2 linked regions of the Caenorhabditis elegans genome follow. The protein of the gene in region 1 purifies or fractionates together with the protein of each later gene. This does not show direct contact. Each region holds a gene or a part of one and is shown on either strand. Other genes may lie near its edges. The genes, in order: ttr-52 and nrf-5.

Region 1 (3,803 bases):
GCCGATATTCTTCAAAGTCTTCCAGATATTTTAGGAAAATTGTCTAAAATCGTGGATGACAAAAATCTAACATCTATTGAGAAGAACAATGCTATCAATCAATTGAAAGGAACAAATAAAATTGTATGTCTGAATTTTATTTCGTTAGTACATTCAAAATATTACAGGAACTCAATACAATTATCTTCATTATCACTCAACTCCTCAACGGAGGGGCACTTCCAGAACTTCCACCAACTCCAATTAATGTTTAATACTCACTTTTCTTTCTTGCCATGTATATTGTATAAATAATTATTTTGTAAATAAATATATCGAACATTCATCAATTTTAAATAACTTTTCAATATTAATCAACATAATAGTTTTCCAAGTAATTAAACACTGATTTATACTTGATATCATCACTTGTCACGTTTCTCCCCTCGAGCCCTTCAGTCATGTCCTCTTTACACATTTTCTTTAACCTGGGTCACTATTCCATCGTTCTTCACTTTGCTCCACACCACTTCTCATTCCAATGACCTTTACTCTGCGTCTCTTGGTTTTGTGTACTGTCTATTCATATGTTATCTCACAATGTGATGATAATGGAGTCATTTATACAAATGGAGACAAGTGGATCCGAAATAATCATTTTTTGGTCACTTGTCGAGATGGAAATATTCAGGTTAATTTAATAAGTATTGGTTATATTTTTGGATTAGAATTTTAGTGAACCAAAATGTTTCGATGTGTATTTTAATTTATAAAACTTCAGACTCTAAAATGTGTAACCGACAGTGGTCATTTACTAGAAGTCGGCTCCAAAAGCTATGTGGAAAATGGATATGAATACATGTGTGCACGTGAAGTTACGGATAATCTGAACACAAACACTTGCCCCACATTCGCCGATTTTTCCGATGATATTTTCAAGGATAGATTCGCAATTTGTTGTATTTCAAGACGATTTAAAGGATGTGTTGATGCAAATGGAGATATTGTCAAGAGTGGATTCTTTGTGATTGGAAACAAAAGTTTGAAGTATTGCAGGATTCAGGCAAATCAATTACAGGCAAGGATTGAGCCGAAAGGCAAGTTTTTTTTCGATTTATTTTCTAACTCTTATCGTATTCCAACTTAACTCTTATGGGATTTTGTTGGAGTATTGAAAAGTTTTTTTTAGAACGGAACAAACAAAATTGTAAGTTTTTTCTAGCAAGTTTTTTTCTAAAAAACCGACAAAGCAAGTGCTAAATCAAAAGTTACATTTTCAGGTTGCTTCAACGGAACAGAGAAAGACGATGTAAATGATGAAGAATTGCACATTAAAAAATATGCAGTTTGGCGCGAAGGTATTATTTGTTTTTTTATCAAGATTTGTTTAAAATACATTTAGGTGACATTGAGTATCGTTGTGGAGATGATGGAGTTCATATTCAAAGATGCTTTCCGCCTGAACTCAAGAAAAAGGCTATTTGGGCTGGAACGGCTTGGATTCAAGAAGACGGACAAGTGAAGACGTGCGGAAAAATAAATTAAACTTTATTGTTTCAATTAAAAATGTTTTGGAATAATATGATAATGATCTGTCAGTAATTTACGATTTATCAGGTCGGCAGATCGACATTATTTTTTCTTTAAAAAAAGTTTGACCTTTGATAATTATAGCTAAAAAAATAAATAGTAGTTGACATTTATAGATCTTCAGAGCTCAAATTTGTAATTGAAAAATGACCTAGTCATGTACATACAAGTGAGATGTGAAACCATTAGATCCAAATATCCACATTAAATTAACGGTAACACATAAATATCTACTCCACAACTGAGAAGAATGCACTTGAGTGTTTGCTGACACGATGACACCAATGAGCAAATAAATATGAACATGATCGATAAGATAGGAGTCCATGATGTTCCCCCAGGGGAGTCTCTTCAACCCCCACGCATTCCTTATACTCCAATATTCTCCAACAAAAGACTTTCAAAACATATGTCGAGATTTTTGATTTACTTCCTGCCTTTTTTCATTTATTCAGGGAACGTTTTATCAAAAACTAGTTGTCTTATGGCAACTGGAGTCTTAAAATGCCCAACAGATCCTGAAGCTGTTAAAAAAGTGCATATCGATTTGTGGGATGAAGATTGTAAGTACTTTGTAATATTAATTTTTACTATCAAATTTGTTTAATCTTGAAAAATTAAAACATTTCCAGCATTACCTCTAGAATCGGATGACTTGATGGGTCGAACATGGAGCGACCGTAACGGGAATTTCCAAGTGACTGGTTGTGCAAGTGACTTTGGTCCAATTAATACACCTGATCCATATTTATATATTCAACACAATTGCCCACATCGTGATAGTAATGCTACAAATCCTATACAGGTATATCTGAAGGTTCTGGAGAATGCAAGTTTTTAAAAACTAGCAAATTTTCGGCAATTTTATTTTTTGATTTTGAATTTTTTGGAAATTCTGAAAAAATAACAAATTTTTTATACCAAGAACTATGAAAAATATCAGTGTAAGTGCAATTAAATAACATGGAAAAAACATGGAAACCGACTAAAAAAATTGAAAAATACAATCCTGTAAAATTTTTTTTCAGTTTTTTAAAGAATGAATATTTGGAGATCAAAAGTAGGATTGAAAAATAAAATTTAATATCTACTTTGCCAATAGATATTTTTATAGGCATAAGGCAGGCAGGCTCATGTTTATATGCCTTATGAAAGGTTTCTTATAGATCAGAAAGCCAAACTTTTTTGCTGAAACTTTGCTCACAAATTTCAGATTGACGTAATACCCCTGTTCCTACCATCAATTGTCCGTCTTGGTAATGTTTATCTAGATCGATACCTTGAAGACTACTAAAGAACTCAACTGCAAATAAAATGATTGCCGTAAAGTCAATGTTTGCATAAAACTGTTCATGATTTCTGTCTCGATATACTTCCGACCTCCTTTTCATCTATGTCTCTCAAATCTGGTATAATAAAAGTCAAATATTCTCTTCATTTTCTTTTTTTTCCGCCTCCCACTCTCCACAGTTTTGACAGTAGTAACAGCGCGGAAGATATATGTACGCGGCACACACCACGCGGAATGGGTAACCGGTTCCAATGAGCTTTTGCACATTGATGCTCCCTCTGCGTGAAATACTAGCTTCTACCATGAAGGAGGCGCGACCTTTGGGAGAGAAAGGCAGCTTACGAGTTGAAGCTCATTCCAGCATCAACGGAGCAACACCCGGAGCATTATAGGTTTGTAATTTACCGGATTTTGAATTTTTCCAACTTTTTGATTTGAGATTTTCCAAACTAAAAGTCCCAATTTGTTCAACTTTTTTTTCAATTTCTGCAAATGAGCTTCTATGATTTAATCGATTTTATTGTAGTTTAGACATTTTTTCAATTTAATTTTCCCAATTAGAAACAGTGAGGATTTTTGATGTGCCATTTGAAACATCTTCTGAAATTGGTAACCCGTAAAATTGGTAACTCGAAGACATTGGCTGAAACTCCAAAAAAAACCTAAAAATTGATGATTTATAGATTTTTCCACTTTTTGGCTGAAAAAATTACTGAAAAGTATCAAATTTAAAAAAACCATAAATGTTTCCACGACTGCCTAAACTTGATCATTCATTTGGGCGCGAATTCAAAAATTATTAGGTTATTTGAATATTTTTTCTGCAAAGTCAGAAAAGATCCCATTTTCAGGAACATAAAAATTATTTGTTAAAATTTTCTTTATCAAAAATACTTGCAGATCCATAATGCTCCCGATCGTTGTGTCCATCCTTTTGGCAACT
Region 2 (5,397 bases), on another chromosome or scaffold:
AAAAACATTGCGAAACAGGAAAAATAGATCATCAAATATCGATAGTTTCCCATTTTCTTTGGAGACTGCGTAATTATGAGAAAAATCAAAATTGAATTGAAGCAAATCGAGAAAACGAATGAGATCCATTGAACAGCACTTTTAAGTATCTCGTAGTTTGTCATTTTTGATGATCCTAAAAAAATGAAGCAAAAATTAAATTTTAAAGAAGATTTGCGTCTATTAGATTTGCGTTTATAAATCTATTTTGATAAGATTTCAAATTAAAGGAAAGTTGGACGAAGTAACAAAGATGTTTTAAAACACAGATGGTAGTACATATATGTAAAAAGGAACAAAACATACTGACATTAACCACTTGGAACGTGAGGGGTTTCCAATTTCCTGGCAGCTATTATTTTTCTGACTATTCTAGAAAATATGTAAAAATGATATTCAATCTAATATGTACATCACAAAAAACTATATTACCTTGTGTCAAATTGAAGATTCATGAATTTCAAGGAAAAAAAAAGAGAAATACATTGCCGTGTGTCCTCAAATAATATTCCACTTCTTTACTTTGTTTGAAAAGGTTAGATCTCAGTCCATTTGAAGAATTTCAATAAATAATCAACAAAAAATCGATAGAAAAATAAATGGAAAAGATTTTTATACTTGGCAACTTTTGAATAATACAAACGACACAAGAGATATGAACTGTCAAAGTTTAAAAATGCGGTGTAATAACAATAGAGGAAATAAGTTGTTCAATCTAAAATGTTGGCTTATTTTTTCCATTAACCAATACACGTTAACAGTATAAAAACTTTATTCCCATGCTCCAACAATATTTCAGACTATTACTTCGTTTTCAAAAATTAAAACAGACTTTTCAAAATATTAGATAATCACGTATTTCGGCAAGTTTGGATTTATCTTGCTCTTCGCATCCAAATATTTTTTGAACTTCGCCAAGAATAGTGGCAAATCAAATGAGAAGTCAGTGTTGAGGAGTACAGCATGATCAACGAAGTCCAATTCGGTATGCTCTAGTTCGACTCCGCAGAATATTGGCAGTTTGACTCCACGACGGTTCATCGCAAAGCGCAGACGCTTTTTGACTTGAGGCCAGAGTACACGTGGGACCACAAATGAGAAGAGCTTTTCGATTGGAGCAGCGAGTGGTCCGCCAAGTCCAAGCTGAAATTTTTGTTCGACTTTCAGATTTATACAGGAAAAATTCTTTAGAATTAGTTTTTCTTGAATACAACTTACATCAAAAACGTTGACATCCACATTAGTCAGAGAAACATCTCCAAAAATACGCGAATGCCGGACAGTTGGCTTCAGCTGTAATTTTTCAGATTTTCGTAGCTGTTCATTAATTGTAGCCTACCGTGACGTGCAACTTTGTGTTAGCATGAAGAACATCATGGAGTTGTTCTCGTCCATGGAACATGATTGAGACATTTCCAGACAATTGAACTCGTGCTCCAAGATGAGCATCGATTTGGAGAATCGGTTGTCTGAAACTTTCAGTTTGTTAGAAATTACAAGCAGACACTTACTCAGTAAGATTAGCGGAAACTTCCACGTAGCATTTTGAGCACACCGCCTTTGAAAGTTTTTGCAGTATTTTTGGAAGTGAACTTGGGGTGTATCTGAATAATTTTCAACATACATTTGGGCTCATCATGAGCAACTTACCTATGTTTGAAATTTCCCAAGTCATACATGTAAATATGATGAAACAGTGTATTGGGGATGTACTCGGAGAGAAGAATTCCAACCATTTTCTTATCAAGCCGGGTCTTGTTCAAAATTTGAAGCTGCTGAGCTGAGTCGGCCTTCCAGCCGTTGAAGAGAATTCCTCCATCAAGGCCAATAATCATATCCTGAAATTTAAAGGTTTATGAGACACTTAATTATAAACTCTGCAGATAAGGTTGAGCGTTTTATTCGGATTCGAAAGAGTGCCGACGTCATCAGATGTGACAAAATGTGGGACATTTCAGCTCAAAACTAAACAAAAAAACAAATTTTTCTTTTGGACGACAATTTTTGTGATAGCCATGCTAGTGACTAACCTCATCTGTAAATGTTGGTGGATGATTAACGCTCAAATCAACTCCCCAATAAGATTTTTGAGTTTCCTCGGTTGTCAACGTTGAGTTATCATCATCCGGTGTTGGAGCAACCGTTGTCTCCACATTTCCCTCTTCTTGCTCCGAATCTTCAAATCCATTAACTGTGTCAACTTGGCACAATGATGCTCCTAACTCGGCGACACTGAAACCATTTGGATCTCCTGCTTCTGGCTTCTGATAGTTTGGGCTCTCAGGTGGAATTGGTTTCTGTGCCATCACGAATGTGAGAGCTTCAACAGCGGTTGTGCAGACAGCATCACGGAGAGCAGAGACAATCTGAAAAATTAACAGATTGTTTCCAAATTTTAAAAAAGTTTCGATTACCTGTCCTTTAATTTCCGATTGAAGTGCTGACAAACTTGATCCAGGTGGAAACACCAGTGAAAGTTCGGAATGAGTTACGTTGCAAACGGAAGCCTGAAACATTTTAATTTAAAAATTCAAAGAATCCATGATAGCTCACATTAACAGTAGTAGTTCCATTATAATCAAAATGAAGTTCCGATTCGATAGACAGTTCGCGGAGCTCTGCAGTGAAATCTCCTTCATATGACCACACAAATACACTGATCTCAGCATAAGCACTTGCACGGAAGGAAGCCAATGATATATTGTAGGCAACACCTTTTCCATCAATGAATTTTGCGCTGAGGTTCGGCTTTGCAACGTTTGATATATGAAGCTTTGTGATTTTAGCCATATCAGTCACAATATCGGGAGGGCTCAAGTTATTGAGAATTGCTGGGAGAGCATCGGATGCCAAATCTGAATTGACATTTATAGATTGAAGGCAATTAAGGTTATATTTTCCTTAAGGTCAAGCACATTTTCAAATTTTAATAGCCAAAATTCATATTTTTAAAATTTACAAAACTGAATCGAAAATCTAACTCAAAAGATCTCAAATGATTCATATCCGAATACTTCTACAAAGTAAGAAAAGCATAAATTAACGTGCACGGAAACTAAAACTTTTTGGCAGGCATTTTTGGAATTTTCAACAATTGTTGATTTTATAAATCTAAACATACATATGTATATTGATAGTTGATTAGAAAAAACTGCGACAAACAATATACATGTAAGCTTCAAACTTCTCAAAACTTCCTTTGTTTGCCATGCAACTCAGATTAGGATTTTTAAAGTTTTTACCAATCACAAATAAATTTACCTGCGACATAATCCACTGCTTTTTGATTTAATCGAACGTAGATTCCTGCTGGTTTATGTGTAATTTCCGAACTGTCAGCAGAATTTCCTACTTGAATTATTGAAACAAGCAGGAAAAATATGTGAAAATTCCGCGACATTTCTGCAAAATAAAAATCAGGAAAATTGAATATCAAGCTCTCGTGAATCAAGAAAAAAAACGAATTGGGACGTTTCTTTAAATCAAAGTGCTCCTCGTTCACAAGACGAAATATCATAGATTGTTGAGAGAGTTCAGACCAGCTGTCGGATGTATTTTTATGATTAATCAGACTTGAAGCGTGACCCTTCTGGCGGTGGATGAGCAGTGTAAAGTGACATCGATTTGTTGAGGTTTGATTGTGGGAAGACTGATATTGGCGAATGAGGACTCATCTTATAAAAACGAAATAATAAAAAAGCCAAAGTTAGATTTTTGCATCCAGAGTTTTTCTAAAAACTGTATCTTTATGTCAAAGTCTCCCCGTAGCCATGTTTCAGAAATTTCACCGAAACCTGGGTATTTTTTAAATGTAATCCTGTTCTCTGAAATGTCACTGAACTAAAGTTCGCACCAGCTCCATTTAAAAAAAATCCAATTTTGCTCAACAATTCACGAAGTGTGTGATTTATCCTACCTTTCAAAATATTCTGTTTTTTTACTCATCATTTCCTAGTGGGCATATTTCCATTGTGAGTACCTTAATGGATTGAAAGATGTTGTCTATAAGAGAAATAAATCGTACCCTACTAAAGACAGATGTGCGCGCGCTACAATGGGGCATTGAATCGACGTCATCAACCAGAGAGCACAAAAGAGACCTGTTGCAGAGACTATTGGCAGAATGTAAACGACGTCGGTCGATATGCTATTGCAATTTTTCATTTAGTCCGTATTGTTGTTTATTGCAGTTTGCATTAATCTAGAGAAACCATTCATTGGTAAAATTTTGTCAACTACACAATTTCCTTTTTTTTGATTTTACATTATCATATGCTTTATTAGTCCAGTTTATTTTGTTTGTTTTACAGTTTTGTTGGGGAGTTTAGCACTAAATTTATCTTGAGTCTGTGATCTTGTAAAATAAAAACTATATGGGTTAGCTTCAGCCTAAGTTGATTTCTCCGGGTGTAGGTGCCAAAAAATGTTTTATTAAAACGAAATTTAAACAACATTTAATCAAACTTTATTATAAGGTTCATAATTTCTCCAAAGCATTGAGCAAGTTGAAAGAAAAATAATTACCTTTTCAGCGTCTTTTTTTGCTTCGCGAGCCAATGGTGCATCAGTATTGTATGATCAGTTATACGTTTTTTTTTCAGAATGAATCCTATCGTCTCAACGTTTCCTTTAGGAAAACTGCCAAAAAATTGTGGAATCAAGGTACTTCTACATATGGATATGAAGTGTTGGTGAGTTTTTCTTCCGTCTGAAAAGTTTATTTATGCATTTTATGGTTAACTTTTACAGTCTATATCTCAGTTGTTTTAGGTTTTATCAAAAACTGTCAACTGACAAGAAATGTTCAAAATATTTTTCTATATTTTGTTATTAAATAGTTGTAATCAAACTTATGACAACCGATATATAATCCCACAAGTCTAATGAAAAAATACAAACTATAAAATTACAAATGCGGTTCGGAACTAGTTTGGTATTAAATTCCGCAGTTTTTGAAACATATATCTCTCGAAATATTTGCTCTGGTATTTCCTAACAAATAAATTAATATTACAAATATTCTTTGCAATCCATTATGTTCAACATGTGGTATTATTTTGCAGGATCTCGTACTCGTTCATCAGCAGGAAGACCAAGAACATCATTAAAGGTTTAATGATAAAAACACACCGTTTCAAACTTAGAACTGGCAGAAACTTTTTTGCGCTTTTCATTAATTTCGGTCATTTCGTTATTCATGTAACGATTTTACGGAGAGAAATGCATTAAGATTTTATCGACTTCAATCTGAATGCGCTACAAAAACTAACAGTGACATTGTTGGACTTCGATGGAAATGGATATCACAAGACTTTTCCGGAACCAACGGTCTCCAGAGAAATGACACTGAGAAATTTG

The links.
Region 2: the proteins of ttr-52 (region 1) and nrf-5 purify together in Caenorhabditis elegans (affinity purification with western blotting, with the first as the bait; one study listed by BioGRID). This does not show direct contact.

The regions. Positions count from the first base shown.
Region 1 is NC_003281.10:13,402,783-13,406,585, forward strand, and holds ttr-52 (Transthyretin-like protein 52), read left to right. Parts: upstream 1-1,935; 5' UTR 1,936-1,978; coding exon 1,979-2,132; intron 2,133-2,201; coding exon 2,202-2,374; intron 2,375-2,782; coding exon 2,783-2,863; 3' UTR 2,864-3,001; downstream 3,002-3,803. Other genes in the region: srlf-10 (SXP/RAL-2 family protein Ani s 5-like cation-binding domain-containing protein), read left to right, coding at 1-123, 168-254; mig-18 (Abnormal cell migration protein 18), read left to right, coding at 521-670, 761-1,076, 1,260-1,337, 1,382-1,524; Zinc metalloproteinase nas-1, read left to right, coding at 3,768-3,803.
Region 2 is NC_003283.11:13,826,311-13,831,707, reverse strand, and holds nrf-5 (Nose resistant to fluoxetine protein 5), read right to left. Parts: upstream 3,442-5,397; 5' UTR 3,440-3,441; coding exon 3,301-3,439; intron 2,895-3,300; coding exon 2,593-2,894; intron 2,547-2,592; coding exon 2,454-2,546; intron 2,406-2,453; coding exon 2,070-2,405; intron 1,878-2,069; coding exon 1,690-1,877; intron 1,644-1,689; coding exon 1,551-1,643; intron 1,509-1,550; coding exon 1,379-1,508; intron 1,333-1,378; coding exon 1,258-1,332; intron 1,183-1,257; coding exon 883-1,182; 3' UTR 801-882; downstream 1-800. Other genes in the region: str-165 (Serpentine receptor class r-10), read right to left, coding at 1-164. UniProt on the Caenorhabditis elegans protein: Plays a role in the uptake of a range of molecules including phosphatidylserine, lipids and xenobiotic compounds from the intestine to surrounding tissues. Possesses lipid transfer activity. Mediates transport of lipids from intestine to reproductive tract.